Arabidopsis thaliana: one gene and its partners. The protein of the gene in region 1 interacts with the protein of each later gene in a pairwise test. Each region holds a gene or a part of one and is shown in the gene's direction. Other genes may lie near its edges. The genes, in order: CAM3, PP7 and SD1-13.

What was found.
Region 2: the proteins of CAM3 (region 1) and PP7 interact in a two-hybrid assay, tested with the Arabidopsis thaliana proteins (one study listed by BioGRID).
Region 3: the proteins of CAM3 (region 1) and SD1-13 interact in binary tests that used the Arabidopsis thaliana proteins (3 or more experiments, as listed by UniProt).

The regions. Positions count from the first base shown.
Region 1 is NC_003074.8:21,030,879-21,040,555, reverse strand, and holds CAM3 (calmodulin 3), read left to right. Parts: upstream 1-4,389; 5' UTR 4,390-4,635; coding exon 4,636-4,711; intron 4,712-5,201; coding exon 5,202-5,575; 3' UTR 5,576-6,022; downstream 6,023-9,677. Other genes in the region: AT3G56820 (RmlC-type cupin), read left to right, coding at 295-495; AT3G56810 (uncharacterized protein), read left to right, coding at 1,629-2,076, 3,079-3,629; AT3G56790 (RNA splicing factor-like protein), read left to right, coding at 6,101-6,721; AT3G56780 (FBD, F-box and Leucine Rich Repeat domains containing protein), read right to left, coding at 7,280-7,582, 7,699-7,821, 7,921-8,943. UniProt on the Arabidopsis thaliana protein: Calmodulin mediates the control of a large number of enzymes, ion channels and other proteins by Ca(2+). Among the enzymes to be stimulated by the calmodulin-Ca(2+) complex are a number of protein kinases and phosphatases. Activates MPK8 in vitro.
Region 2 is NC_003076.8:25,554,647-25,565,188, reverse strand, and holds PP7 (serine/threonine phosphatase 7), read left to right. Parts: upstream 1-1,872; 5' UTR 1,873-2,030; intron 2,031-2,264; exon of another isoform or gene 2,265-2,275; 5' UTR 2,276-2,280; coding exon 2,281-2,676; intron 2,677-2,754; coding exon 2,755-3,249; coding exon of another isoform or gene 3,250-3,264; exon of another isoform or gene 3,265-3,337; coding exon 3,338-3,484; intron 3,485-3,559; coding exon 3,560-3,667; intron 3,668-3,757; coding exon 3,758-3,853; 3' UTR 3,854-4,119; downstream 4,120-10,542. Other genes in the region: VPS20.1 (SNF7 family protein), read right to left, coding at 52-193, 275-430, 565-717, 812-964, 1,198-1,299; UVR8 (Regulator of chromosome condensation (RCC1) family protein), read left to right, coding at 6,602-6,695, 6,883-7,069, 7,261-7,407, 7,620-7,701, 8,093-8,248, 8,656-8,829, 9,035-9,106, 9,347-9,418 and 4 more. UniProt on the Arabidopsis thaliana protein: Phosphatase active on para-nitrophenylphosphate (pNPP) and on various phosphoproteins such as myelin basic protein.
Region 3 is NC_003070.9:3,813,296-3,825,064, reverse strand, and holds SD1-13 (S-domain-1 13), read left to right. Parts: upstream 1-4,177; 5' UTR 4,178-4,312; coding exon 4,313-5,594; intron 5,595-5,673; coding exon 5,674-5,781; intron 5,782-5,871; coding exon 5,872-6,065; intron 6,066-6,149; coding exon 6,150-6,360; intron 6,361-6,464; coding exon 6,465-6,702; intron 6,703-6,796; coding exon 6,797-6,947; intron 6,948-7,031; coding exon 7,032-7,340; 3' UTR 7,341-7,641; downstream 7,642-11,769. Other genes in the region: AT1G11362 (Plant invertase/pectin methylesterase inhibitor superfamily protein), read left to right, coding at 1-435; AT1G11360 (Adenine nucleotide alpha hydrolases-like superfamily protein), read left to right, coding at 2,166-2,894; AT1G11340 (G-type lectin S-receptor-like Serine/Threonine-kinase), read left to right, coding at 7,849-9,124, 9,274-9,393, 9,482-9,678, 9,783-9,993, 10,091-10,328, 10,407-10,551, 10,635-10,949; AT1G11330 (S-locus lectin protein kinase family protein), read right to left, coding at 11,649-11,769.

The DNA.
Region 1 (9,677 bases):
TAAAGGTGAAAATCACTTCTGAATCTATCATAAAGATGTTCTTGACTATTGGACTAATATCATCAGTCATTTACTCACGGATCACTGAACCACTAATCACTGTCTAAGAATGAAAAATCGAGTTTCTTCCATTAAGATGTTTAGTAATGTGACTAAGTGGGCTTATCTTACTTGTTTGAACCTTTTTCCTGTGATGATTGTGCCCTGGTTTTCCATTTCTTTACTGCTCTCGGGTCAAGATGAACCAAAATCATCAATCAAACATTGTTTATGGACAAACCTATATGAATGCAGCTGGAAAACCACGAAGTCGATAAAGGTTACGCCGAAGTGTTAATTGGAGAGGATGAGGTAGCTGTAGCTGTTAGTCAGAGTGGCACGGCTCATGCTCTAGTAAATGTAGATCCTGTGCGTTCTACTTTCTTCATAGGCTGCCAAGACCATATGCAGAACAACAGCTCAACTAGCGACTACAAAGTATGGAATGATCTATAAACCAAAGTGGGTTAGTTTAGTTTCTCTTGTTCATTCAAATTTTCATTGGCTTTTCTTTCTTTCGAGCCCTTATTTGTATAGAGTAGGCTTTGTTTTGACTGGTCAGTCATATTGTTACTGAGATTATAAACCTGAAACTTCCAATGTTGTGTTCATTGATATGATGGTAAGATTAGTCTGATCAGTGAGAATCAATTCGTATGTAGAGTTTGTTGTTTCTTCACAGCTGAATGTGCAATGCATGTCTTTCTAAAAAAATCTTATTGCAATTTGCCAACTCAGCACTGTAATCAATCAATTACGAAGTCTTATTATTTATGATCAAAATGTTTTATGTATTTTAAAAACTTCAATCACAATTATATTTGACAGATGGAAATATATCTCTACATGTAAAATTTGTGAGCAGTGTTAGTTTTTCTGCTTACCGAAAATTGTTAAATTAAAGCATAAATTGTTTTCTTCAAACGTGTAAATGATTTATGGTCTCAAAACAGAGTGCCATTAATGATGCAATTACAATTACTCGTACAAAAAATATCTAATTCTTATAGGATTGATAAAAAAAGCTCTAAAAGTTTTCTCTGTCCAGCATGCACAAGGTCATGAATCTTAAAGAACACTCTTAATAATGCCCTTTTGTTTCTCATAGAGCCTTGTGCTAAACTCCTAAATGCCTAGTATTTGATTAGGGTTCTTAATTTTGTTAATGGAATCCCCATCATGTTGTATTCGAAGGTCTAGTTGAAGTTTATCTAGAGTTGAGTGATAATTTACTTTGTAAGCCAGTAAGCACTAATTAAACTTCAAAATAGGAAACAAAACATGAAAGACACTATAATGTCTAGCCAAAAAATGACATTATAATGTCTATAGCTAATAAGTAAAGTGTCAATGCTTTGGAATTTGCCATGTGCAAATGGACCAACCTTAAAGTAAAAAAAAAAACGTAAAACAAAAGTGAAAAGGAGAATAAAATAAAAATAAAGCATGGAGACCTAAATCACAAAAAGGGTATAATATTATAATTTTACCGTTGAAATGAATAATTTCTTTTGACTAAATGGGAATTTAAGGTTTTAGATAGAGAGAAAAAGAAAGAGGTGAGAAAAACAAAAACAGATAGGAGGAATATGAAGAAGAGTAAACGAGAGAACTTGCTTTCTCCTTCATCTTCATGGCGGGAAAACCATAATCCTCCACGGAGAAACTCAAACTCCTCCGCCGTCTCCTCCGGCTGCCTCCCCGGGTTCTTCAACCTCTTCCTCTCCACCTTCAACCGCCGCAAATCCATCACCTTGGGATCTAAAAAGCGAGAACAAAGAACCGTCGTTTACGCTTCTCCTCCGCAAGATTCATCAAACGGACAAGGCGGAGGAATCGTTGCGCCACCGCTTCCGCACAATGAAGGAGAGGGAGATGCGGCGAGAGTTAGTCTAGTCGGAGCACTAGAGAAATGTGATCGGGACTTAGAGGAGCTAAGAAGAACCATCGACGTCATCAAAACCACTTACATTCTTCACAAGAGACTTGAGGTTTCTCCGCCGACCACACGTGAGAATTTTAAATTCTCCGGCACCGGTACGTTTCTCCGTTTTTGTCAGTGTTTTGGTCATCTTATACGTTTAATACAAACATGTCGAAATCATCTTTTTTTTTTTTCACTTATAAAAACTTCTCTTATTTATTGATAACTTAACAAAAATCAAGAAAGAAAAATTCATATTAAAATGTGGGAGAATTGATGTGGTCCGTAATTTGTAGCACATTATCAGGGAATTTTGTATTTTAATCTTTTGTTGTTCAAAATAAATAAATTAAAGTAGTAAACTTAAGTGAACATTGTGTCAACTAAAGTAGCAATAAAGAGTGAAGATAGAATGGGAAGGCCAAAGAGTTGTCTCTTTAATTTGGTGGTGTTGAAATCATGAGTATGTCCAATAGTGGAAGACAGGCTCATCATTTTGGTATATACAAATAAAAGTATATTGATAAAGACATCTTATTGCTCTAACAATTTCATGCATGCATAAACTGTGTTATTTGATTTTGATGTCACATCTAATTGCTCTAACAATTGGATCATTATATAGTTGTTGTCATATTGAGGATAGTGTTCAAAATTATATAAAGACAATATAGTATGGACCCCAATTAAGTTTCGGTGGGGCTAATTATGTAATGAGGTTTAGTCTAATCTGATAGGATCAAATTAAAGTGGAGAAGAGAGTAAAGAAAGTGTGAGGAGAAAGAGGCATGTTAGACAAATGATGAAGGAAGAAACAGCTTTTAGGGGCCTTTATTCCTTTAGTCATGAAGCCCACTTTAACTTTTCCCATCATTTGGACCCCCACCCATTCTTTGATTTATTCCTGATTCTGACCCACATACTGTTTTATGGTACCAAATCAAGAACACCACTTTTAAAGAAAAATGATTCTACAAGCACTTCATGTATGCCTGAGTCTTATTATTCGCTAGTAATAGTTTATATATATTTGTGTGACAACGTACTAATTTATATACTAAACACACAAGTTGTCTGATAAATTATTTTCGTCTTATTTAACAAACAACCAACAGTACTGGCAGGAGATGTCGTCGTGGGGACGCACACGCAGAAGAACACGAAGACGACACAACACGAACCAGACACAGACACGATGTTGTCGATGATGAACCATCACGAATATTGCTGCAAAGACAACAAACCCTACAAAGTCAACAATATAAATCTAATCACTAGACCCGATCATTACTCCATTCATGACGTCATTTCCAAGAGATCAACGTCAACGACGACGACAGAGTCATGTGGCACGTTGCCCCTTGTGGTGCGGAGGGTAAGACGGAGCTTGATGGAGAGCGTGAACCAAGTTTGTGATGACGTGGCATCTGGTCAACGAAGAGAGGTCGCTAAAATCGGTTTGGCTCTTCATGATCACATCTGTCGCGACTTGATCGCAGAGACCGTTCGAGAGCTCTCCTTCTCTGACTACGACGACGACGAGTTTTATCAATCGCCGGTGGATTCTTCTGTTTGTTACGGCGGAGGAGGTAAAGGCCAACACATCCGACGTGGCAGCAGCAACTCTCTCCCATTCGACGCGTGTCGAAGAAGATTAGTGTTTTGATGCGATTGATATCTTTAGGTTCGTTGTGACGGTTATGGAAGTCATAGTTGCGACAATTTTCACCTATGACACTTGTTGTTTAAATTATTTTATAATTTTCTTAGCTTATTCAGAATTTAAGACATATCTTTCAATAGAGTGCAATTGGTTGTTTAGGGTTTAATGAATGATACACTATTTGCATTCAATATAAAAACTTTCCCTATTTGATGAATTCATGTATATACTAGTACTACATAGATTTCCTTAAATAAATGAATGATTAACAAAATCAGAAACAATATATTCATCTAGATACAGATATTAATGTTTTTTTTAATAACTCATCCTATATTTTAAAACTCGATCGTTTTCTCTTTATATATACCTTTCTTAAGTTACCTTATATACATAATTTAATCATAGAATTTATTAAGAAATTGATTAGACGTATCAATTATATCTTGAAGTGATTTTGATTGTTTGAAAACGAAATCTAATCTAATTAATTTGCAGGTGATATTGTACTTAAGTTAACAATAAAAGAAACTAATTATTTGTTTTCAATGGTGAGGAGGACTACTTAAATTCAAAAGCGAAGCCAATCATAAACAGACATCTGTACTGAGAGAGATCTCGAGGACCCAGCGAGAATGCTGACGTGACAGTCAAGTCAACGCTCCGCGTACAGACCGCGTGAACGTGTGATCCGTTTAATTGTCCACTCTGGCGTTTTATAAGAGAAAAGAAATCATTGATGATAGCATTAACGCAATTACAGTCATAATCCGAGGTTATAACAGAGATTTTTCCAAACCCGGTACGGGTTAAAAAAAAAAGCTTTTAAAGTCCCGGGTCGGAGCAAAAGTCGTTAATAGCTTCGTACCCGATAAATACGGTTGCTCTCTCGTTTTTTCCAGCAGAGACACTTTTTCTAATTTTCTCTTCTTCTTCTTCTTTCTCGTTTTGAGAGAAAACAAAAAAATTCTGAATCTACAGGTTTCACGAAAAGGAGAAGAAAAAAACAATGGCGGATCAGCTCACCGACGATCAGATCTCTGAGTTTAAGGAAGCTTTCAGCTTATTCGACAAGGATGGTGATGGTACGTTGTTGTTTTTTTCTCTCTCCCTCTCGCAATTTCAAATGTTTTTGAATACATAGGATTTTGCTACTGTTGGATCTTGGTGTCTAGCCATAACTGATTTGATTTCTGTTCTTCTTGTTGATTCAATTGATCTGTGTCGATGTAGATAATTAACGGATCTGTAATTCGTGATCTCTAGACTCGTTCCTTGTTTTTCAATTTTTGTTCGTTTGTTTCCTGGATTGGATTTGAATCGAAATTTGGATGATTGATGACTTGGAGATTTGCCAATTTGTTATCGATTTGGATTTAATTTTCCATCTGAATTATTTTATCTCACTTTAGATTTGAGAAGTTAATGACTAGAAACTGTTAATTGAGAAGTTTGGGATCTAGCTAAAATGCTTCTCTACAGAGAAACCTGCTTTGAGTTTCGTAATTGAAGATATTTGATTGAATTAGATTTACAGAGAAGTGAATGATGAACAAATTCTTGATTTGCTTGTAGGTTGCATTACCACCAAGGAGCTGGGTACTGTGATGCGTTCCCTTGGACAAAACCCAACCGAAGCAGAGCTTCAAGACATGATCAACGAAGTGGATGCTGATGGTAACGGTACCATTGATTTCCCAGAGTTCTTGAACCTTATGGCTCGTAAGATGAAGGACACCGACTCTGAGGAAGAGCTCAAGGAAGCATTCCGGGTTTTCGACAAGGACCAGAACGGTTTCATCTCAGCAGCTGAGCTCCGCCATGTGATGACAAACCTTGGTGAGAAGCTTACTGATGAAGAAGTTGATGAGATGATCAAGGAAGCTGATGTTGATGGTGATGGTCAGATTAACTACGAAGAGTTTGTTAAGGTCATGATGGCTAAGTGATGCTGTTTTAGAACCAAACAATGGCTCTATAAACTTGGTTTGCATCTCTTACATATAAATTCTTATGTTATGTTCTATAATTTTTATTCATGGGACTCGAGGTATGTTTTCTGCTTGTTTAAGACGCGAATGTTTTATCCCTTTTATGCTCTATTTTGCGTCTGAACATTTTCAAAAGTCTTGTTTTTTTGTTGTCTTGCTCCTGTAATTTGTAACCTTGGTCTAGTTCGCGGTTTTTTATTAATGGTGTCTCTCTAGTAAAGCATTGTATCATGGTTTTGTGAAATGCAAATTAGGTCCTATCAATGACTAAAAAGGTCAAAACGTGGTGTGGTGTGTATCATTAAAAAAATAGAAACCGACATAAAAGTTTCCAATTCGTGGTCGTTTAAGAAAAAGGAAAACGGCATAAAGTTTCCTATTCGTGGTTGAATTGGGATCATTCAATTGATGTGAATATAGGTAAAATACCTTTGTGTTTCTTTGTTCACGTTCGTTTCATACTTCCCCTAAATTTGTCTCATCATGGATAACAAGAAGCAGAGATATTCCAGGAGCATCCGTGACGATCGTGATGAGAGAGATAGGACTAAGCATCATCATGAGAGGTCTCACGAAGGAAGTAAGAGGAAAGATAGATCAGAGGAAGAGAATGGGGCGGCTAGGACGACAAACAAGAGTTCTAGGTTTGAAGATGTAGCTAGGTTTGAGAAAAGGCCGTATACTTGTTCTATTGCATCGGACACTACTTCTAGTCAAATCCTTGAAGCTGTTAAACGATTTCAGGAGCTGGCAATAGATACGGCTGTTGCACATAAACAGACCAAGGGCTTTTTTCTGCGTGTAGATGTACTTGGAAGAGAAATAGATGAGTATGGGCATGTGATTAATCTTAGTACATTGATGGTTAACAACAACAAACACAAGAAAGATGTTTTTCAGAATATTCTTAAACCTCCCCAACCTTTTAAATTGACAAAGAAGGAAGAGAAGAAACTGCAAACTCTAAGGCGTGTGGCAAAAGAAAAGGAGAAACAGAAGATGATTAGACAAGCGTTGTTTGAACCACAAAAATCAAAGGTGAAATTGAGCAACCTAATGAAGGTTCTTGCGTCTGAATTAGCAACCCAAGACTTCTTCTTATGAAGAGTTTCCTTCTTCTCATTTAACAGATTAACTATGAAGAGTTTGTTAAGGTCATGATGGCTAAGTGATGCTGTTTTGGAACCAAACAATGGCTCTAAACTTGGTTTGCATCTCTTACATATAAATTCTTGTGTTATGTTCTAATTTTTTTTTTGTGTGGGACTCGAGGTATGTTTTCTGGTTGTTTAAGAAACGAATGTTATATCCCTTTATGATCTATTTTGCGTCTGAATATTTTCAAAAGCCTTGTTATTTCTGTTGTCTTGCTCTTGTAATTTGTAACTTGGTCTAGTTCGTGGTTTTCTATTAAAGGTCTCTAGTGTCATTGTTTTTTTAAATGCAAATTAGGTCCTATCAATGGCAGTCAGTTTACGTTAAATTGATTTCCTAACGGGGCTCATTGAATAGCTTCAAATGATCAACGAAACAGAAGGCCAATAAAAACCTAAACACAAGAGAATGTGAAACACCTCAGTAGAAATTTTAATGAAACATTGAATTTAGTGAAGCATCAAATCATAAGATGTCCGCGAGTTTCTTCCAAATATTAGCAATCATTTAACAATTTGCTTTGTTTCTTATAATTTCATTCAAAAGAACTTCACATGACTTTGAACCTCTTGGCATCGAAGCTAAGTCCTCTTCAATCTGTTGCTTCGCTTCCACTTCACATGGATATGTCTTATAGAAGATTTTTGCCGTTTTCAAACAAAGCGCATGGTTCAGGAGATAACTCACCAGATCCTTATCTCCGTATCTCCCTGTGTACCCTTTCCACTCTAGAGCTTCAAGACTGGACAACAAACATTCGGGAACCAAACTTGGCGGTTCCCAACGACCCAACGGGGTTAGTAAGTAAACCTGCGATCACGAGAAAAAATGGTAAAACTGCTATTAATAATAAGATCATTGAGGTCGAATATTAAACACTAGTATAAATTACAATGGTAAAGGAAAAAAGGGAGAAAACTGAATACATGTTCAAGCTTGAGGACCACCAATTTAGTGAAACATAGGAGCAAATCTACAAGCATTTCCACAGATCTTTCACTACATATGCTCAGCTCCAGATGCACGATTCGACTGAAGGTACTTGCATCCTAGAAAAAAAAGAAAAAAAAAACACGATATTTCATTTATGTGATGGTTCCAACAAGATATAACACGAGAAAGAAACGACATGGAATGAAAAAAGTTACCTCTAATTTTGATGGAACTCCGAGCCTAACCCGTACAATATACCGGTAACGGCTTGCATATGCCAACTCTTGAATGCTGAAGTACTTGAAAGAAGGTGCGATAATCGCAAGCTTTCGAGTGTAGTTTTTCATCAAACTAAAAATATGCTTGGAATCTGCATCGACTCTTGTGATAATCGACAATCTTTGTAAGTAAGGCATGTCGATATCCAAATTCAACAAAACATCACTGGTTTTTTCTTCCAGTGTTAGGTCGGAGAGAACAGGGCAATTGGATAAAAGCCGACAAAAGGAATCATTGTTAAAGTCCTCCATGCGGGCAACATGGAGAGTTTTGAGGAGTGGGAGACATACCGCGGAAGAAGAAGAAATGCTTATCACATCCTTCAAGCCTTCGAGTTTCAAGGCCATAAGTGTTTTACACCAAGAAACGTCGTACTCAGCAAAAAAGAAACGAGATTCTCTTATGACCATTAGGTCAGTAATAAAATTGCAATTGGATAAAAGCATTTGAAGGGATCCAAAGTCGAATAAACTCGAGTGGTCAATGTGCAGAGTTTTTAGGGATGGGAGAGAGACCGTTGTAAGAGGAGCTTCCACATCGATCACTATACCTTTGAGTTTCAAGACAACAAGTGTTTTGCAGGTAAACAATTCAGGAGGTAATACGGTATGGACAATACAAGCATCTATCTCTAGCTCACGGAGGTGGCAATGATGATGATGAAGCGCGGTTCTAATCCATGGTCCAATGTCTTTATTCCACAGGGTCACACTTAATTCGACATGAAGGCTTTCTAGAACATGAGATTGGTGTGAGAACAGAGACTTGTCGAGAAATCGTTCAAATCTAGTGTGATCCCGAACATCGTACTTGAGTATAGGCACCCTTGTCCAAAGAGATTTCCATTTTTTTGACAAAAGACTTGTCACTACAACATGTTTAGTAGAAACGAATGACAAAATCTTCAAGATCAAATCGTCGGGCAACTCGTTGATACATGAACAAACCTTCTTTGTCATTGTCTCTGTTTAGGTCGAAAAAACATTAGACTATGTTTAAAACCCTAATTACAAATAACTTGTTTAGGTCAAAACTCTTTATTGCTTATCAAGTTTCTCCAATAACTAATAAATATAATTTCCAACTAATACTTACGAGATTTCGTGCGAGGTAGATTCTGAAGATCTGGAGTCTGGAGTCTGGAGTCTGGACGAAGAGGATTCACCGGAGTTATGAGATCTCACAAACCCTTCGACTTCCCCACAAAGAAGAAGATAACCAGTTAGTATGAACTTAAACCGATCTGATTAATGTTCTGGTTCAATTTCTTGGTTCAATCATATCCCTCGGTGTGTTTATATGGGCCAAGTAGAAAACAGAGTCTTAAAGCCAATTAATTTCCTTCTTTTCAATAGAAAAGGATAAAAAATCCATTACATAAAAATGCAAATGAGAAATATCAAAATTGTGCTTTCAATAAATCCCCTTTTAAAGAAGAAGAAACATAGAAGTTGTTGATGTGTTGTGTAGATATACTAACAAATTTTTTATTAAAGTTTGATATGATATTATTTGGTAAAAGATATATAGTAAAAAATTTCTTCTAAGTTTTTGCTTTTGTAAAATATTTCTTTTTTATGTTAAGATAACTTTGTAAACAAAAATTGGAATACCTTGCCAGTTGCCACCCTTCACTACCCAATTTTTTTTGTTATCTAGAGCTATTAAAAATGTTATGAAACATACAATTGCA
Region 2 (10,542 bases), on another chromosome or scaffold:
TAGTTCTTGCAATTCTAACAAGGAAAAGAAGAAGAAGACGAAAGGAAAAACCTTTTGTTTTTGTGGCGGACTCAGCTGGTGTGATTTCCGCATTGGAAGCGACAGGAGTTTTTGTTGGCACATCCGGAAGATCCAGCTTCTCAGATTCTTCAGACTCCTTTGTAGGCACTTCAGGCATCTCATCAACAATAAGCTTTAAGCAAAACACACATCAACATTAGTCTCTTTATCTAGTAAAGATAATAATACACAAATTTATTTTGTAAACCCATACCTGACTTTCTAGGTTGTCAAATTCTGCTAATATATCTTCCTCATCCTCTGCTGATAGTTTCTCTCCCAATATAGCGTTCAGCTCCTGACATTCGGAAATGTAAATAGAGTCATCAAACACAAAAGCTCGACAAAAAAGATTATAGAGGTTTTCACACTAGACGAGCTCAGAACAAACTGTGCCACACAAAGCAGTGATCAAATAAGAAGATATTTACATTCTGACAAAGCGGATAACGTAATAATGAATCATAAACAAATGATACGAAACCCGAAAGTATTTTGACTCACATCTTGATAAGCTTTAGCATCAGCAGTATCATCCATTAGTTTTTGAACATCATCAAGGTCCAATTCGCTTTGAATGGCCTTAATAGCACTATTACCCTGCTTTAAGCTCTCAAACACTGCCTTTTGTTTGCTCGTAAGTTCAATATCTGTTAACTGCGAGTTCACATGAAAGTTTGAGAAAGCCATAATTATGCATCAAAAGAGACGATGCCGGATACAAAACATACACACAAGGAGAAGGATTTACTTGTTGTTCAACATTGATGACCCATTGATCCACTTGCTTCAATAACTCTTCTTGAGTTCGTTTCTTCCTCAATGCTAACAAAGCTCTGTCCTTTCGCTTTTCACGGATTAAGTCTCTTGCAGCTTGCTTTTCCGCTTCAATTACTTTCTCAAGCTAAATTAGCAAAAAAAATGAGAAGATCGGTTAACAAAGAGATGAGCCAAAGAACTCAAAAGCTTGAGTCTTTCTTTTCCATCACACTACTAACAATCATAAGACACATATTGTGAAACGAATCAAATCCAATCTCCAATTAGGATTTTGGATGAATCAAAACTATATGATCTGGGTTCCAAAAGAAATTGTAACAAAAGAAAATTAAGATATAAGAAGAGAGAATAAAAAACCTTCTGCTGATATTGACCAAGCTTGCGTCTTTGGGTTTTGAGAGAGAGAATCGCTCGATCAACCTCCGTGATCTGTGGTTTCTTCACGAACAAATTCCCCATCTTTTCTTCACTTATCGAAACCAACGATTCGGAAAATCAAACGAGCAGAAGAAAATTTAGCAAGATTTGATCTTTTGACGAAATTGATTATTAGTCTCTAGATTTCCCAAAAATGTCGCCAATTTCAAACCAAAGTCCAATTTTTGTGTTTCTTCTCTCTTTCTGCTTTTCAGTACAAATATCTCAAAATAGAGGAAAAGCATGAACCGGACCGAAAAAATGTAAAAATCGATATCGAACCGATTTTAGTCGGTTTGATTTCATCCACACTGAAAAATAAAAAAATCGAAACCAAACAAAAATTCCTTGGATAGTACCGTAAACAAAATCAAGCTGAAATCGATAAGTAACCGAATAGACCAATGTATAATTCGGTCTCCCAATTTTGTTCAAGTTTATATCAAAACCAGAACAAACCGGTTGGCCACCTTTAACAAAATCTCGAACTCGCGTTTTCGATAGCGCGTGATTGCAAAACGCTATTGCAGCGTCACGACAAAAAAGGTTTGTTCGTTTATTAAACCGGCCGGTTTGGAATCATGAATTTGATTTGAATCCTTTTAGCTGGTTAACCGACGTCGTTTGAGTAAATGGATCCAAAGCCAGACAGATCCTAAATCTCGTCGACGACGGTGTCGGGACTGAAAGCAGAGAGAAAGCAAAGTAAGCTAGCTTAGCTAGGTCCAAGATCCAAGCTTTGGAATTTTGTAAATTGTCTCCACTCTTAGCCGGTGAGTCTCACTCTGTTCCGAATTATTCTTTGTGATATGGATTTCGATTTCCCATGATTCGATTTTGTACTTTTTGCTCTTCTCTTGAGTTTAAAGATGTACGAATGAATATATACAGATTCGATTTTATGTTCTGGTGGCTTTGATCGCTGAAATTTGAAAACTTTGTCTATGTTTCGATTGCTTGATACTCTTGTTTCACATGTTCATACTCTGGAATTGATTATAGATTAGTGTTTTTACAGTTTTAATGGAAACTGTTCCACCATCTCCCATTACATGGCCAGATGGGGGAGCTCTCACTAACGACTGGGTACATGGGCTTATGTCGTGTTTCGAATGGTCTTCATGGAATCTACCTCCTTCCCAGTTACCTTCACTATTGCCTGTCAACGTCTTTGATTCCCTCGTCCTCACCGCTCATAAAATCCTCCACAAAGAACGTAACTGCGTTCATATCGATGATCTTGACTCTGTATCCAACGTTGTTGTGGTTGGTGACATTCATGGTCAGCTTCATGACCTTCTTTTCCTATTGAAAGATACTGGCTTTCCTTGTCAAAACCGGTGTTATGTTTTCAACGGAGACTATGTGGATCGCGGTGCTTGGGGACTTGAAACCTTCCTTGTTCTCTTGTCCTGGAAGGTAAACTCTTTACTAAGCTGTTTTACTATTGGCTCAAGTCTTAGTATTCTTAAAGCACATATCTTTTTGGTTGTTTAGGTTTTGATGCCGGACAGAGTCTACCTACTCCGTGGTAATCATGAGTCAAAGTATTGTACATCTATGTATGGTTTCGAGAAGGAAGTGCTTACAAAATACGGAGACAAGGGAAAACATGTGTACCGGAAATGTTTGGGTTGCTTTGAAGGTCTTCCTTTGGCTTCCATAATTTCTGGACGTGTTTATACAGCACATGGAGGGCTTTTCCGCAGCCCAGTCTTGCCTAAGCGAACAACAAGGGGGAAAAAGAACCGTCGGGTAGTTCTTCTGGAACCTGAGCCGAGCTCAATGAAACTCGGTACCTTAGATGAGTTGATGCAAGCTCGAAGATCAGTTCTTGATCCTCCTTGGGAAGGTTCAAACTTGATACCAGGAGACGTTTTATGGTCTGATCCTTCAATGACTCCGGGCCTTTCACCAAATGAACAGAGAGGCATTGGTCTTCTTTGGGGTCCCGATTGTACAGAGGATTTTTTGAAGAAATATGAACTGAAGGTGACACCAAAGTAGATATTGATGCTTGTTTGCTTCCCAAATACTGATATGGATGATTGGATCAAATGTTTTACACTTATTGGTGCAGTTGATCATCAGATCACATGAAGGTCCAGATGCTAGAGAGAAGAGAACTGGTCTTGGTGGAATGGACAATGGATATACAATAGACCACAATGTCGAATCCGGAAAGCTTATCACTATTTTCAGTGCACCTGACTATCCGCAATTCCAAGTATGTATTTTTACGCCTTTGGTATTTGCATTTTCTAAAGATATGCGTTAACAATCATTTTTGTGTGTGGTGTAGGCAACAGAAGAGAGGTACAAAAACAAAGGAGCATATATTATTTTGCAGGCGCCTGATTTCTCGGATCCTCAATTTCATAGTTTCGAAGCTGTTAAACCGCGACCAAAGGTAACTAACTTACGATGCTGATAATGAACCAACGAGTTGTTTTACTTCTTTGATACACATACATAGCGACATCGGTTTTTAAATGTGCAGGCGCATCCATATTATGACTTTGAAAATGTCATTGATTCTGATGATGAGATGGATAAGTCAGCAATGGACACCAATAACGAACAACCAAATAGCTGACCGAAGCTGAAAAGGAGTATCTTGAATTGATGTTTTTTACAGTTGTTGTGATTGCTCATTATTTGCAAACATAAAATGGAATCAAATGTAAAGAAAAGAGATGAAGAAAATCATTTGTAGAATTCACATTTAAGTTATGTATGGAAGATGAAGAAATAAGAACCATCTTAAATCTCATGTAGTTCTTAGTTTCTTGGTTCCTACACGTCTTATTTAAACCTAAATCTTGTAAGATTTTGCTCTGTTTTGTCAGGTTAGCCTAAATCTTGAGAGGTCAAACTTGCAGTAACTTTCATTGTATAGAATTGCTTTTAACTGAATGATAAATCGAGTAGTAGATTAGTCCAATGGAAGTTTGTGGATCAAGTTATGTGTCTGTCGGCATTATAGTTTTCCTTTGAAATATTGACACATTACTAGAATCTTATCCAACAAAAAATTGTGTGGTTATGAAAATCCTAAGTAACGAGACAGCTTATTAAATGCCGAATTTGGTAGCAATTTGTTCAGATGAATGTATGTCTTCTTGTAAAAGACAGTATGAAGTGGAGGTTGATGCTAACTATCTTATGGTTCCTTATTGCACTTTGAAGCATTTATTGCAATTGTTTTCGGTTTTTTCTCTTGAGTGGGCTAAACTAATAATGGTCTGTTCTTTCTCTAAAGAGAGAAGAATTCGACAGGAGCGTGAAGCATCTTCATTCGCAAATATAACACATTAAAGCTACCTCTAGCATCATCTGTGTGATTCTCTCCAAGGTCATTCGTTGTCTGTCACGGGGCATCTCAAGTAATAAAGCTTAAAGTTAACTGTCTTTTCAGCCAAATAGTTTCATCATCTAAATATTCACATGATCTTCCATATTTCATCACCGATTATGGTTACAACATTTTTGCAAACCCTAAAATTTGTGTTATCGCCAAACTTGACCCTTATACCGGAACCCATGTGGGTGGGTGTTGATTTTTACTGTTTTGTAATTTGTTCATCGACAATCATTGACATGTACTCACCGCAATGTTTTTTCTTTCCTAGTTTCATGTGCATATATGTCTCTAAACAGTAATTGTTTAGCACTTCATGTCAAGCTTAAATTATTATAGGTGTCTTATCTTGTCTCTCTAGTATTTTCTGTTGAAGTCATGTGCATTAAATTGTATATAGTACTTCCAATGGCTTTCATATAATTTCCATTTTTCCACAAATTGTTCGTAATGATGTTTATTTAACAAGATTATAAAAGATAATGCAACAAATTTGTGTGATGAATGATGAGATGAACCCATTTGAAAGAGGTCGCAACAAATGTCAACATTAGAGACCATCTTGATCTAGAGTTTTGTCTCGTTGACTTTAATGCCAAAATTGGACAATACATATAATGCATGTATCAGGCAATGCAAAAATATCTTCATTCATTTAATTTTCTTACTATAATAGATGTCACAACTTCCCTCACTGACAAGCATATAATGTTGGTTTTATCTCAATGTAAACAACCTTTTAGTTTCACATAAATGTTAGGTCGAGCGAGGTGATATATTCGTTCCAGATCGGATGAAACAAGTAATTCATCGATGTTACCTTTATCCATATGTATATGTAAGATTATGGGTTTTAGGTAATCTAGTAAGTACTACTAAGTAGTATCCGTATGTAATTTTTTATTTATTTTTATCCGTTATGTATAATTTCTTTGGCCGTTTTCGCAAAATCTATATTTGGATGTTTTAGATCGTGAATTGATATATCTTAATTTGAATATTTAGGTATTCATATATTTTGAATCTATAGTTGACCTGTTGACCATGTATTTTGATTTGAATATCTCGCTCGATCGATAGAAGATTTTTTTTTGTTTTTGTTTTGTTGATAGTAGAATCTTCAAGTTGTAATTTAACAAAAAAAAAAAAAATCAAGTTGTAAGTAGACCGTATATCTGTATATTTCCATATGTAGAACCATGCATTTTGAATAATTGAATAAAATAACATGTAGCAAGACGTATCTTCATATGATAATCAGAATCATAATAAAAAGACAAACTGTACACCATATTGTAATCCAGGTTTAATTTGACCTCTTTGAAAAACTAAAATAGCTGAACTGAATATTTATAACTAAAAAGACAAATTGGATATGTCACTTTGGACTATGAAACTCAGAATTTTTTTTGACTAACGTGTATACTTTCACACGTGTGCATGACTAAAAACATATGATTAGGCTCTTACGATCTATGCGCCTTACACCTGTGAATGATGAACACATAAAACACAAGTTACGATCTAGAATGTCATGTGTACTGGCTTAAATCTACTTATGTGAAGAGGTAAATGAAATGGTCAAGAAACAAAAAAAAAAAGAAATGGTGAAATTATGAAAGTATAAAACTTTACCGGTGAGGTCCGTATTTGGATTTATTAAGTGAAGAGGGACCCTTTTGCAATTAAAGCCTGTACGACAAAAAAGAGATTTACTGTACGGTTAAAACAAAAAATAAAAAAACCAGCAAAAGTAAAAAAGTCAAAAAGCAGATATATGACATGTGCAAATCTCCATCGCGCCTTTATTACCATCTACCGCTTTCTCTCTCTGTCTTTCCTTGTTCAACCCTCGAGAGATTACGGATAGTGAAAGAGAAGCTACAAAATTTCCCAATTTATCAAAAAATAGAAATTTCTTACTTTTTTCAAAATTCATTTCTCCCCAAAAAAAATATCTTGTGAAAACTGCAACTGTGATCCATGGCGGAGGATATGGCTGCCGACGAAGTTACGGCTCCTCCTCGTAAGGTTCTTATCATCTCCGCTGGTGCTAGCCACTCCGTCGCTCTTCTCTGTACGTCTCTCTTCTTCTTCGCTGTTTTTTTTCCTTTTCTATTACGGACTCAAATAATCACCGGAATTGTGAAATCCGCTGCTTTAGTAGGCTGTGCTCTTCGCGAATTCTCTTGATCTGGCCTTTAATCGAGTTTCCCTTACTTTCGTCGTCTACTAATGAGTAGTTTTATGTTTTGATTTTGTAGCTGGTGACATTGTTTGTTCTTGGGGTCGAGGAGAGGATGGACAGTTAGGTCATGGCGATGCAGAGGATCGACCTTCTCCGACTCAGCTTAGCGCTTTAGATGGCCACCAAATTGTTTCCGTTACCTGTGGTGCTGATCACACTGTTGCTTATTCACAATCAGGCATGGAAGTCTACAGTTGGGGATGGTTTGTTTCTCATCATTATCTTCTTCTTTGCTGCTGAATCAATTGCTCTTCAGTCTGTTTGATATATTCGGGATGAGATGATGACCACTAGTTCCTCTCTAGATTTTTGTGTAGAAAACAGTAACTAATTATACACTCATTTGCACATATTTTAAGCCTCGTGTTCTCTAACCTTTATGTGTACTTTGCAGGGGTGATTTTGGGAGATTAGGCCATGGTAACTCAAGCGACTTGTTTACTCCGCTACCAATCAAAGCATTGCACGGTATTCGGATCAAGCAGATTGCTTGTGGGGATAGTCATTGTTTGGCTGTCACTATGGAAGGAGAGGTCCAGAGGTATTTTCTCTTTGTTATTGTTCTTCTCCTTATGTGCAATCATTTACAGTTTACATCTCAGCTCAATTAGATGAATTTCATCGGAATTTGATAATGTCGATTGCGTCCTGTGTCATTTCTATATATCTTGGTTATTGTGTACATTGCCTTTTAAACGTTTTGTCTGTCTTGTCTTGTTTTCCAACATATCTCTTTGACTTCTGTTTATACAGTTGGGGCCGCAACCAGAATGGTCAACTTGGTCTGGGGGACACCGAAGATTCTCTAGTGCCTCAGAAGATTCAAGCCTTTGAGGTTTGTATCACTAAATATTCTTCTAACATCTTTTTTCGTTGTAGTTTCCTCAACTTGCCAAATACTATGCTTCAGAATTGGGTCAATGTTGGGTCTATTTCTGCAACTTGATCTTCTTAAACATATGACTGTTACTAGTTAAGGGTCCACATCTGGTGAAGATGTCTTCAGAATCATAATTTAAGTTACATAATTTTAGGAGTGGTAGATACTAAATTGGATGTCTATGTGTTATACTATCTGCAAAACACAGATAGAAGGTAGGATCTTATTGATAATTTATCGGACTAGGTAAACTAGAAGATTAAGTGATTAGAGACCCTGAGTTTATGTTGTTAGTTTCGCTGATCTCCATTGTTACATCAACACTTTAAACTTGTAATGGGTGCAGGGAATACGAATCAAAATGGTTGCTGCTGGTGCAGAACACACTGCTGCAGTTACAGAAGATGGTGACCTCTATGGATGGGGCTGGGGAAGATACGGAAATTTGGGATTAGGTGACCGGACTGACCGCTTAGTTCCTGAAAGAGTTACCTCTACTGGTGTAAGCTAGAAGACTCTTGTTCTATAATTTTTGTTTAAGCACCTGCTACTTGTTTAAACTTGCATTTGAAGTTCAGTATACGTGAAAGAAATCGTGAATAGCTCAATATGCACTGCACTATTCTGGATTAGCTGTCTATATTGATGGAGTCACACGTATATGCAGTCTAATTTCAGTTGGTGGGTGTCAGGGAAGTGACCATAAAACTTTTAGAATGATCAAAGTTTGGTATCCTGAATCTGCACAGTTCATGAAATGAAATTTAGTTCATATAACATTGATATCACGCAACCTCACCTTTTTACCAACTTCTATTTCTGCATTTTAGTCCCTCAATTTTTTCCTTAATTCTCTTTTCATTTCGACTCACTTGACTCTCGTTTTCCTGGTTGTAACTACAATTTTAGGGTGAGAAAATGTCAATGGTTGCTTGTGGATGGCGGCACACAATATCAGTTTCCTACTCTGGAGCATTGTATACTTATGGATGGAGCAAATATGGACAGCTAGGACATGGAGACTTGGAGGATCACCTTATTCCTCACAAACTGGAAGCACTGAGCAACAGTTTTATCTCCCAGGTTTCACTTAGGCCTTATAAATCTGTCTTGAAATACAAATTTGTACATCTGAAATATCCAACATATGGGATAGCAATAATATGTTTTTCGAAAACTTTCTGACAACTATTACCTACTGAAGAAGACTGGCTTCATTGTATGTACTTCTGTTGGTTTTCTTCTTCTGTTCGACATCTTTTGGACTTACTGTTCGTTTCTTTTCCAGATTTCGGGAGGTTGGAGACATACAATGGCATTGACTTCAGATGGAAAACTATATGGATGGGGTTGGAATAAGGTCTAGAATGTCTTGCTTTTTTTTTTTTTTTTTCTGGCCTATATTTCGTAGAAATGTATAGAACACCTATTTTCATCTACACATTCACTGATATTTGCATTTAGTTGCTTTATGCTGTTAAGGAGTGATATGCATTCACTTAGATGTTATTTTAAGAAAACAACAATGCATATATTGGGTAACTTTAGTAACTCATCTTGAATAAAACAAACTTCTAATTGTCTCTCTTTTAGCCTGCAGTTTGGACAAGTAGGAGTCGGCAATAATTTAGATCAGTGTTCTCCTGTGCAAGTGCGATTTCCCGATGATCAGGCATGTTATCCCTAAAAAAGTTTAACGAGAAAGCTCGTCCCAATGTTTTACCGGCTATATAATCATATTAATAAGTTCATGTCTCAATTCGCTGTTTTCTTTTCCAATGCACACATATTGTGGAATTTCACAGAAAGTAGTTCAAGTCTCATGTGGATGGAGACATACCTTGGCTGTCACTGAAAGAAATAACGTGTTTGCTTGGGGTAGAGGTACAAATGGACAGCTCGGCATTGGAGAGTCGGTTGACAGGTAAAAGTGTGATCATCTAATCGCTCATGAATCAATGTTTTCCACTTAACATATCTTGGTGTTACGAACAGAATATGAAAATTGGCCAGTAAGATCGTTGTTTCCACCAAAATCATTGCTTTTCAATCCCACTCACTACCTATCTTGATAATGTGAAATGGATATTTGGTTTGGTGTTTATAGGAACTTTCCCAAGATTATAGAGGCACTCAGCGTCGATGGAGCAAGTGGACAACATATAGAATCTTCTAATATCGATCCATCTTCAGGTATTTAAACAATACCACTAGTTAAAACGATTTCTGTAAACGACTCAACAAGTGATTAAATGATTCAACTTTTGCATTGCTTTGTTACCAGGGAAAAGCTGGGTGTCGCCTGCAGAGAGATATGCAGTTGTTCCTGATGAAACGGTAAGCCTTAATTTTGTTAATTCTACTAAACTTTATATCCAATACGTAAACTACAATGAAAGCAAATGGCACAATTATATCGGCTTAGAACCAGATTTTACTGATTAATCATTGCTGCACAATTATACCTTGCTCTGTCAAGATCGTGGATTGTTTTCAAGGATGAAATCTATGTGTGTGATTTTGAATTTGGTTGTGTGTTAGGGCCTAACGGATGGTTCAAGCAAAGGTAATGGAGGTGATATCAGTGTTCCACAAACTGATGTCAAGCGTGTACGAATTTGAGCCTGAGTCAATTCCGTTTTTTTTTTACTTCCGGTTCTTCCGTTGGATTCGAAGGTTTTTCAGTGATCTCTTTTGGGTTGAGGTTTGTACTAAGAGTACGTCTGTCTAGTTTGGGATTGTACTTTTTGTTGTTGTTGTTAGTTTGTAACTTGTGATGCTTCCCTCCCCCTAGCT
Region 3 (11,769 bases), on another chromosome or scaffold:
TGCACACATACAGATGTCGATGCTTCATTGTGCTTTGAGTTCTTGAACTCATCTCCTCAAATTGCAGCACTGGATTTTTATGGCCTTACCAAATATTTAATTACTTATGAATCTCGAAAATTTTCAGATATGTTGAAACAATTCCAGTCACTCGTAAACAGCACTACGGATCCTAGTGCTAAAGGTTCCTATCATGTATGCGTAGGAACGTTTGACAAAGGTACTGGTTGTTTTGATGACGCCTTCAGACATTTGGCATCCAAGGACTATATCACTTTGGAATGGAGTGTTGAATGTACGTTTGACATGGCAGCTGGGTGTGAAGATGAGCTGTCAACTTTCAAACCTAATCCACAACTCTTCAAAGATATTTCTATTGTCAAAAATCTGTCTATTATGGGTTTGGTGATTGTGAAACTATTTCTGAAAAAATAAAAAACGTTATATTAGTGTTGTTATTGCCTCTTTTTAAGATATCCCATAAATCTCTACAAAAATATCGACGATTGAATTGAGAAAAGTTAATGGATCTCTCATTATGAGAAAGTTTTGACTTTTGAGAAATCGGTATGACAATTATCTTCACATGATTTATTAAACTTCTTCCTATATATTTTTAATTTTTAATTATATAATTAGGCGATATTAAGACTTGAAAGAATCTTCAACCAATGGATATGATCTTTAGATTTTATTATCAGAATTGTGAAAAAATCAAATACTTTTAAGACTGGATTTTTAGCCCCTCCTTTACAGCCATTAGGTCTTATAACCGATTAATCTAGCGGTCCTTAACAATATCCAATTCTCATAAAAAAAAAGAGTCAAAAAATAGAAAAAGAGTCGCTGTAAATACTCGACTAGGGATCTCACCTATACAAAATTCGTAAAAAATCTAAAATTTTCAAAGCTCACAAAACCGTTGAATATTTGCCATATTGCCATTGATGTAAAATTACACATTGTTTTATTTTGCACTATTCACCTACCTTATTCACCTACCTAGCAATAAGAATTTTGTGCGATTCATCCCAGATTTCCTTTATTTTTACATGAATGAAATCTACGACTGTAAAACCTCACATATCTAAATTACGAAAAAGGAAACCGTTGAATCTTTGCCATATTATTGCTATTAATGTTAATCATGTCATTACTTATTAGTTATTACTAATATAATGAAGAAGATACGTAATGTTAGCATTAAAACTGTAGATTATTATTATTTGATTAAAGATGTAAATCATCTTATTATGGTAGCACAATGTTAGCATTAAAACTCTAGATTAGATACGTTCCCCTTTCCACTATACAAATCACACATAATTCTCTAAAATCCTGAACAAAAAAATGTTTTCAAACGTCAAAAGTTGTTTATTAATTCATATAGTTTTTTTTTTCTTGTTTTTGTTGTTTCATCATCTGCAAGATTTAGTACGGAGATTACAAAAAGTGAAATCAACAGTATCTGCACACATACAGAAGCCAATACCAATGCTTCATTGTGCTTTGAGTTCCTGAACTCATCCCCTGAAATTGCATCACTGGATTTCTATGGCCTTACCAAATATATACTTACTTATAATTCTCGAAAAACTTCAGATATGCTGAAACAATTCCAGGCACTCGTAAGAAGCACAACGGATCCCAACGCTAAAGGTTCCTACCATGTATGTGCAGAAATGTTCGACAAAGCTACTGATTGTTTTGATGACGCCTTCACAACTTTGGCATCCAAGGACTATATCACTTTAGAACAAAGGGTTGTTTGTACGTTTGACATGGGGGATGGGTGTAAAGAAGAGCTGTTAACTTTCACTCCTAGCCCACAACTCTTCAAAGATGTTTCTATTGTCAAAAATCTTTCTTCTATGGTTTTGGTGATTCTAGATTATTATCTGAAAAAATAAATAAAAGTTATTTTAGTTTTGGTATAGTGTGTTTTAATTATATAATTAGAATGACTATATATTACCATTGGAGAATATCTATGGTTTTGGTTATATATTTTTACAGCCGTTAGATCTTCAAACCGATCAATCTAACGGTTCTTAACAATATCCAATTCTCATAAGAAAAGAGTACAAAAATAAAAAGAGTCGCTGTCACTATACCGTACCGTACAGAGTCAATTGAAGAAACCGAGAGAGAGAGTGAGCGGAATCATGACTTCTCCGGGAAAATCTCCGAGATCCGACCGGAAATCACCGACGGTTGTCACCGTCCAGCCGTCTTCTCCCAGATTCCCGATCAGCACACCTACTGCTGGAGCTCAACGTAAGATCGGGATCGCTGTCGATCTAAGCGACGAGAGTGCGTACGCAGTTCAATGGGCTGTTCAGAACTATCTCCGATCAGGTGACGCCGTTGTTCTCCTTCATGTTCAACCGACGAGTGTACTTTACGGCGCCGATTGGGGCGCTATGGATTTGTCGCCGCAGTGGGATCCAAATAACGAAGAGTCGCAGAGGAAGCTTGAGGACGATTTCGACATTGTCACTAATAAGAAAGCGAGCGACGTTGCTCAGCCTTTGGTTGAGGCGGATATTCCGTTTAAGATCCATATCGTCAAGGATCACGATATGAAGGAGAGGCTTTGTTTGGAGGTGGAGAGGTTAGGGCTAAGTACTTTGATTATGGGTAGTAGAGGATTTGGTGCTACGAAGAGGAGTAGTAAAGGGAGATTAGGGAGTGTCAGTGATTACTCAGTTCACCATTGTGCTTGTCCGGTGGTTGTTGTTAGATTTCCTGATGATAAGGATGGAGAAGATGAGAAATCCGGCGACAGTGGTGGGGAGAATCTGATGGACAGTGATAAACTTCATACAGTGCCTGAGGTGGCTGAAGAAGAGGGAGATAAGGATGAGTACCATGATGCTTCGGATAAGCAGTAGCAGCAAGGTTGACTTTGAATGCATGTCAGTTTCAATTTACTTAGGAATATTATATACAATCAGTAATACTCTGCTCGGATCAAGCTTTGACCTTTAGAATGATTGGATATTAGGAAGATCCACTAAGATGCTATTTTATTCCTGATGCTTGAGGTGTGTATGTTTGAACATTTGCGCATATCATTGCTTTAGTTGTATTCAGTAATCTCTTGATGTTAATGACCAATAACTTACATATGCATCTATTGATATGCTAGAGATTTGCTGTTTGTGAGTACTTTTTTTTGTCTCAGTGATGTCTGGATATGTCAAGTTATTTCTTCAAAAGTTGGATCAATCAATGATGTCTTATCTGTGATCACTGATCTTGTGCAGGCTTTCATGTTGCAGAAGGAGACCTCCCTAAGGAGACTTAGAAAGAAAAGAAAGCGTTCCTTTGCCCTTGGTTTGTGTTCTTGAGTGTGCTTAATTGTGTTGTTTTTGGGGTTTGGGGTATTCTAGATCTCTTTTGTAAGTATTCTCTTGTTTCTTGGTTTTGTTTTAAACTCTATGGAATTTGGGATGAGTGGATTCGATGTCTTTTGTTTGTCTTTGAAAAAGCAGTGAAAAGAATTTCAGTGGTCTTGTATATCTCTGCAGTTGAATAGTTGGTACAAAATAACATCTTTGACGGTTCCAAATAATATATCTTGTCAGTAATGACCATTAAATAAACTTTACCATGAAATGGCTATGCTTGCATCTTTCAGAACCATTACATTTGTCTTGTCCTGTTTCTGACTTTTCTCTTGACTGTGTGGAAGTTCATAAGATCAATGGTACCGATGTGTCTTTGTTTGTATCTTTGGGAAAAAGACTGATAATGGTTCCGAAGTTTCACTGTTTGTACAGTCTCAAATAAGTTCTATTTTGTCTCTCTGCAGTTTAGTTTTCCCCATAGAAAGCATCTCTGATGGTTTCAAATGTAGGCATCATTAACATTTTCACCACATTGTCCCTATTCTCAAGCAGCGAACTCTCTTCCTATGATCAACGTCCACTATCTATTCCCAACTTTGAAGAGTTAAGAGACATTTACCTAAGGAATCGGTAAATCCTTGTTTGCATTTGTCGATTTCATGAGCTCCTGTTGCCTGTTGTTGCGCGACCTGGTTTCAAAACGGCTTCCAAGTTCGATTTCAAGTTTGCAAAATGTGAAGTTGTCTCTGATAGTGACTCCTTGCATGCCCCTATCTCACACATGCTCGTAAGGCCCCATCACACTTTCCAATTATTTCTGAGCGGAAAAGTCAAGTGTGGTGCCTCTGCCAGTGGCAATTAAATGTAACCACCAAACATTAGATGACATAAAGTTATTTCAAGTCTTAGGATTAAATCAACCCTTAAAGCTCTACGTTTCTCTCAAAGTTGCTGAGAAGATGGGTTGTTTGCTAATTCTTCTTCTTACATTGATTTGCTTTTCCTTGAGGCTTTGTTTGGCTACTGATGTAATCACGTTTTCTAGCGAGTTCAGGGACTCTGAGACTGTCGTCTCCAACCACAGCACCTTCAGGTTTGGTTTCTTCAGCCCGGTTAACTCCACAGGACGTTATGCAGGGATATGGTTCAATAATATTCCTGTTCAAACCGTGGTTTGGGTAGCAAACAGTAACAGCCCGATCAATGACTCTTCCGGAATGGTTTCCATATCCAAGGAAGGGAATCTTGTTGTTATGGATGGTCGCGGACAGGTTCACTGGTCCACCAATGTCTTGGTGCCGGTGGCTGCTAACACCTTCTATGCCCGGTTGCTGAATACAGGGAACCTCGTGCTGCTAGGAACTACTAATACTGGGGATGAGATTCTTTGGGAGAGCTTTGAGCATCCTCAAAACATATATTTGCCAACAATGAGTCTTGCTACTGACACGAAAACAGGCAGGAGCCTTAAGCTAAGATCTTGGAAAAGCCCGTTTGATCCATCGCCTGGACGATACTCTGCAGGTTTGATTCCTCTGCCATTTCCAGAACTTGTTGTCTGGAAAGATGATCTTCTGATGTGGCGTAGCGGTCCATGGAATGGTCAATACTTCATTGGGTTACCAAATATGGATTACCGTATCAATCTTTTCGAGTTAACCCTTAGTAGTGACAATCGAGGATCTGTCTCCATGTCCTATGCTGGAAATACTTTGTTGTATCATTTTCTCTTGGACTCCGAAGGAAGCGTGTTTCAGAGAGATTGGAACGTGGCTATCCAAGAATGGAAGACCTGGTTAAAGGTCCCATCGACCAAGTGTGATACATACGCCACATGTGGCCAATTCGCTAGTTGCAGATTCAATCCCGGGTCGACTCCGCCTTGCATGTGCATTAGAGGGTTTAAGCCACAGAGTTACGCGGAGTGGAACAACGGAAACTGGACTCAGGGATGCGTAAGAAAGGCACCATTGCAGTGCGAAAGTCGAGACAACAACGATGGAAGTAGAAAAAGTGATGGATTTGTGAGAGTGCAAAAGATGAAAGTGCCCCACAATCCACAACGATCTGGAGCCAATGAACAAGACTGTCCTGAGAGCTGTCTGAAGAACTGTTCTTGTACGGCTTACTCATTCGACAGAGGGATTGGTTGTCTTCTTTGGAGCGGAAACTTGATGGATATGCAGGAGTTTTCTGGCACTGGCGTGGTTTTTTACATTCGTCTTGCAGATTCAGAGTTTAGTAAGTGTAGTATCAACCTCATTTTTCCATCCAACTTAGTTTACTAGATCATAACAGATTTGCACCAAATCTTTTGTAGAAAAGCGGACCAATCGGTCAATTGTGATCACAGTAACTTTGCTAGTAGGCGCTTTTTTGTTTGCAGGGACTGTTGTCTTAGCACTGTGGAAGATCGCTAAGCATAGAGGTTAGCGTTACATTCCAACTATATAAGAGATATCTCTCTATGATTTTATATTATTAGATAACTAACTTTTTGCATTGCTTTGTTTAACAGAGAAGAACAGAAACACAAGGCTACTTAATGAGAGAATGGAAGCTTTAAGTAGTAATGACGTTGGTGCAATCCTTGTGAATCAATACAAGCTTAAAGAGCTACCACTGTTCGAGTTCCAAGTGTTAGCAGTGGCGACCAACAATTTTTCTATCACAAACAAGCTCGGACAAGGAGGATTTGGTGCTGTTTACAAGGTTCTTAAACAATTCTTTGTTTCATTGGTAGGAGGAATTTCAAAGTGACAATGGAGTGTTAAGTTGCTCTACTTTCATTTACAGGGGAGGTTACAAGAAGGGCTCGATATCGCTGTGAAGAGGCTTTCGCGAACATCGGGACAAGGAGTCGAGGAGTTTGTGAATGAAGTGGTCGTGATCTCAAAGCTGCAACACCGGAATCTCGTGAGATTGCTTGGTTTCTGCATTGAAGGAGAAGAGAGGATGTTGGTCTATGAGTTCATGCCAGAGAATTGTTTAGACGCATATCTATTTGGTAGTGAACTTATCGTTTGGTTTAACTCTGTTACAGTCTTAGTAGGCACATGAACAGAACCTAATGCTAGTCTTGTTTGTGCACCTTGTTGCTGTGTAATCCAGACCCGGTGAAGCAAAGACTTCTTGACTGGAAGACGCGGTTTAACATAATCGATGGGATTTGCAGAGGTCTTATGTACCTTCACAGAGATTCAAGGCTGAAGATCATACACAGAGATCTAAAAGCAAGCAATATTTTGTTAGATGAGAATCTAAACCCGAAGATATCCGACTTTGGGCTGGCTAGGATTTTCCAGGGGAATGAGGATGAAGTAAGCACCGTAAGAGTGGTTGGAACATAGTGAGTAGCCACCCTAACTAACTCTTACACAGCTTTTTCTGATCTTTTTTCGATGATTGTCAATTATGTAACTGACAAAAGCATAACACCACAGCGGTTATATGGCACCCGAATATGCAATGGGAGGGTTGTTCTCAGAGAAATCTGACGTTTTCAGCTTAGGAGTCATACTCTTAGAGATTGTGAGTGGAAGAAGAAACTCAAGCTTTTACAATGATGGGCAGAATCCAAATCTTTCAGCTTATGTAAGTCTCATTTTAAAACCACGACCTTTCTTTTGGTAAAGCTTTTGAACCATTCTTGAAACTTTATCTCCTTATTTTGACCAGGCATGGAAACTCTGGAACACCGGGGAAGATATTGCTCTTGTGGATCCGGTCATCTTTGAAGAGTGTTTTGAAAATGAAATACGCAGATGTGTGCACGTAGGACTATTGTGTGTACAAGATCACGCAAATGATAGGCCGAGCGTTGCAACGGTGATTTGGATGCTAAGTAGCGAGAACTCAAACCTTCCAGAGCCAAAGCAACCTGCATTTATACCTAGAAGGGGCACTTCAGAAGTTGAATCCTCGGGACAAAGCGACCCAAGAGCATCGATCAACAATGTGAGCCTCACAAAAATAACAGGACGTTAGCTCTGTAAGTGAGATAAACCTACTGCTAAAGAATTTTGATGAAAAAATGTTTAAGTTGTATATCTGTATGTAAGAGTAATCTATAGGTTACGAACTAAAATTCAGAATCTGGTCATGTTCTTGTATGAAGTCACATAAATATAGAACATGTTTTATTGTAGACAGAGCATCTGAGCGTACTTCTTTGGAATACAGTTTCTGCTCTTTAGTCCAATCATTGCACATACAAATACACAGAATGTAGATATGTAATCATAGGAGTTTCTCGATACCAACAAAACTCTCCATTTTTGGTACGTAATTAATGATTATTGTTGGTGTTCTTTTAGTTAGTTTCACACTTTTAAGTCACATGAATCAGTTCTTACATCTTTTTGAAAGTCCAACCTTTGAGATATATCCGGAACTGGGGCGTGACTCACAGTTAATGACTGATCCACTTGGTTTTCAATACTTACACAGCATTTATACATTTTCACTAAATCCTTGCTCTGAAACAAACACAAATATGAAGGTTGTCTTCGTTATCTTCTTTTTCTTCCTCTTCCAATTTTGTATCTCTGTGGATACAATTATGAGAAGACAGTCCTTGAGAGATGGTGAGGTTATACTCTCCGCAGGGAAGAGATTCGCGTTTGGATTCTTCAGTCTTGGGGATTCAGAGCTCCGGTATGTTGGGATTTGGTATGCTCAAATCTCTCAACAGACTATTGTTTGGGTTGCAAACAGAGACCATCCTATTAATGACACCTCTGGGATGGTAAAGTTCAGCAACAGAGGCAATCTCTCTGTCTATGCATCTGACAATGAAACAGAGCTTATCTGGTCAACAAATGTTTCAGATAGTATGTTGGAACCAACTTTAGTTGCTACACTCTCTGATTTAGGCAACCTTGTTCTGTTTGATCCAGTCACAGGGAGAAGTTTCTGGGAGAGCTTTGATCACCCTACAGACACGTTTCTTCCGTTTATGAGATTGGGATTCACACGAAAAGACGGTTTGGATCGCTCTCTAACATCATGGAAGTCTCATGGTGACCCTGGTTCTGGAGACTTAATACTGCGGATGGAACGTAGAGGGTTTCCACAGTTGATTCTGTACAAAGGTGTAACCCCATGGTGGCGTATGGGGTCATGGACCGGGCATAGGTGGAGCGGGGTGCCTGAAATGCCAATAGGGTACATCTTCAATAACTCATTTGTGAATAATGAGGACGAAGTATCCTTCACTTACGGTGTGACAGATGCTTCGGTCATAACAAGAACCATGGTGAACGAGACTGGAACCATGCACCGGTTTACATGGATTGCGAGGGACAAGAGATGGAATGATTTCTGGTCAGTTCCTAAAGAGCAGTGCGATAACTACGCTCATTGTGGCCCTAACGGTTACTGTGATTCCCCTAGCTCAAAAACGTTTGAGTGCACATGCCTACCTGGTTTTGAGCCCAAGTTTCCCCGGCATTGGTTCTTGAGGGACTCTTCTGGCGGGTGTACAAAGAAAAAGAGAGCTTCAATATGCAGTGAGAAAGACGGGTTTGTGAAGTTAAAGCGCATGAAGATTCCCGACACATCAGATGCAAGTGTGGATATGAACATAACATTGAAGGAGTGCAAACAGAGGTGCTTGAAGAACTGCTCTTGTGTCGCTTACGCAAGTGCTTACCACGAGAGTAAAAGAGGAGCAATAGGATGCTTGAAATGGCATGGTGGTATGTTGGATGCAAGGACATACTTGAACTCGGGACAAGATTTCTACATACGTGTAGACAAGGAAGAGTTAGGTACACATCTATAAATGAGAATCCCTATTTTCTACGTTCTTGCTCTTCATAAAACAACCACTCTGTTTCATTAAAACAAAGAGAATAAAGAAACATGTCAATGTTTAGTATCGAAGTACTTCAAATACTGAGTTTCTTGCTTGTTTCAGCGCGGTGGAACAGAAATGGCTTATCAGGGAAGAGGAGAGTCCTTCTGATTCTTATCAGTTTGATTGCAGCCGTAATGTTACTAACTGTCATTTTGTTCTGTGTTGTAAGGGAGCGACGAAGTAAGTGAATATCTGATGATGAATCTCTTAAGATGATATGCTGCTATCTTAGCTCACAACTAACTACTTGAAACATGTTCAAGTGCAGAGTCAAACAGGCATAGAAGCTCTTCGGCAAACTTCGCCCCGGTCCCTTTTGATTTTGACGAATCATTTAGATTTGAACAAGACAAGGCGAGAAACCGGGAGTTACCTTTATTTGATCTTAACACGATCGTTGCAGCAACAAATAACTTCTCTTCCCAAAACAAGCTTGGAGCAGGTGGTTTCGGACCTGTTTATAAGGTAATGAAGAGGCAATATCCATTTTTCATCAATACTCCTCCAAGAGAGAACACTATTAAGTTCAATAAGTAGTAAGGAATATTGTTTCCTTTGTTTCTACTTAGGGCGTGTTACAAAACCGTATGGAGATAGCGGTGAAGAGGTTGTCGAGAAACTCGGGACAAGGAATGGAAGAGTTCAAGAACGAGGTCAAGCTGATATCAAAGTTGCAGCATCGAAATCTCGTGAGGATCTTAGGATGTTGCGTTGAATTGGAAGAGAAGATGTTGGTATACGAGTATTTACCAAACAAGAGCCTAGACTATTTCATATTCCGTACGTTCAACATTTTTAACTCAGGTTCAAATTCTCCCTTTCAGGAAGATCAATGACTCTGAATTTTCTTGTTTCTTTCTTCTTATCATCATGCTAGATGAAGAGCAGAGAGCAGAGTTGGATTGGCCAAAAAGAATGGAGATAGTCCGAGGGATTGCTCGTGGAATCTTATATCTTCATCAAGATTCAAGACTGAGAATCATCCACAGAGATCTCAAGGCCAGCAATATACTTCTTGACAGTGAAATGATCCCAAAGATTTCAGATTTCGGCATGGCTAGAATCTTTGGGGGCAACCAAATGGAAGGATGCACAAGTAGGGTCGTCGGAACATTGTGAGTTACTCTTTTCTGAAACACCACAAAACTGTCCAAAATCTTACAACCTTAAACTGTTTCAATCTTGTTGCACAGCGGATATATGGCACCGGAGTATGCAATGGAGGGACAGTTCTCCATTAAATCCGACGTCTATAGCTTTGGAGTATTGATGTTAGAGATCATAACCGGAAAGAAAAACAGTGCTTTCCACGAGGAATCATCTAACTTAGTCGGACATGTAAGTACATAACTGAAAATTTTACACAAAAACAGAGGAAAAAAAACAGAACATAAGTAAATGTATGTTTCTCCGTCTTGTAGATTTGGGATCTATGGGAAAACGGTGAAGCAACAGAGATCATAGACAATTTAATGGACCAAGAGACTTATGATGAGAGAGAAGTGATGAAGTGCATACAAATTGGGTTGCTCTGTGTGCAAGAAAACGCTTCGGACAGAGTAGACATGTCCTCTGTTGTCATCATGTTGGGTCATAACGCCACTAATCTTCCGAATCCAAAGCATCCTGCGTTTACTTCCGCGAGAAGGAGAGGCGGTGAAAATGGTGCTTGTCTTAAGGGACAAACCGGTATTTCTGTTAATGACGTTACCTTCAGCGACATTCAAGGTCGTTAAAACAACTTCCAAATGTTTTACTTTTTTTCGTATAAGAAGAGAAGAAGACTAGAGGATCAGTTACAGGAATCAGGAATCTTATTAACTCTGTAAGTTTGTGTAATGAGACTGGTTTTTTGACAAAACTTATTTATTGAAGTACTGATAACAAAAGAAAGAAAATGACTAATAATAAAACCATTGCTAAAAACAAAACACAAAAAGGAAATTTCTTCGCTGCTATAAAATAATTTTGTGCAGAAAATTCAAGGTTGTTATGTAGTTAATGTATCTTCGAAAAAGTCAAAACTGATGTTATTTTCTTATCCCCTATCCAAGTTTGTTCCAATATACATATACTTATAGCAAAGCAACCAATACACAAAACCAATAATTGTGTTTTAATTCTTTCTTCTCAAGACAAAACCTATGTGCTGTGGCTTTTTCTCAAGAACAACGGATTTTTGTTCTTGTCCTGTTTTCTTCAGGTTCAGTTTCTTCATCCAGGTTAGTTAATTCCAAAAATCTGATTATATGTAAGAATAGGTCAAGTTTCAACAAAGTTCATAAACCTGAAAATAACTTCTCTGTTCTTATTTCAGTAATCTAACCATTGCACAGACGCAGATAACAAAATTTGTAAACATAGGAGTTTCTCAAAACGTGTATATTACATACTATTATGTATATAAACAGACTGAGATTGGCGTGGTGGTGAGGTTAACGTCCTGTTACAGCTGTGAGGCTCACATCATTGATAGATACCTTTTGACTACTCTGGTCAGAAGATTCAGCCTCAGAAGCTCCTCTTCTTACTATAAACGCTGGCTGCTTCGGATCG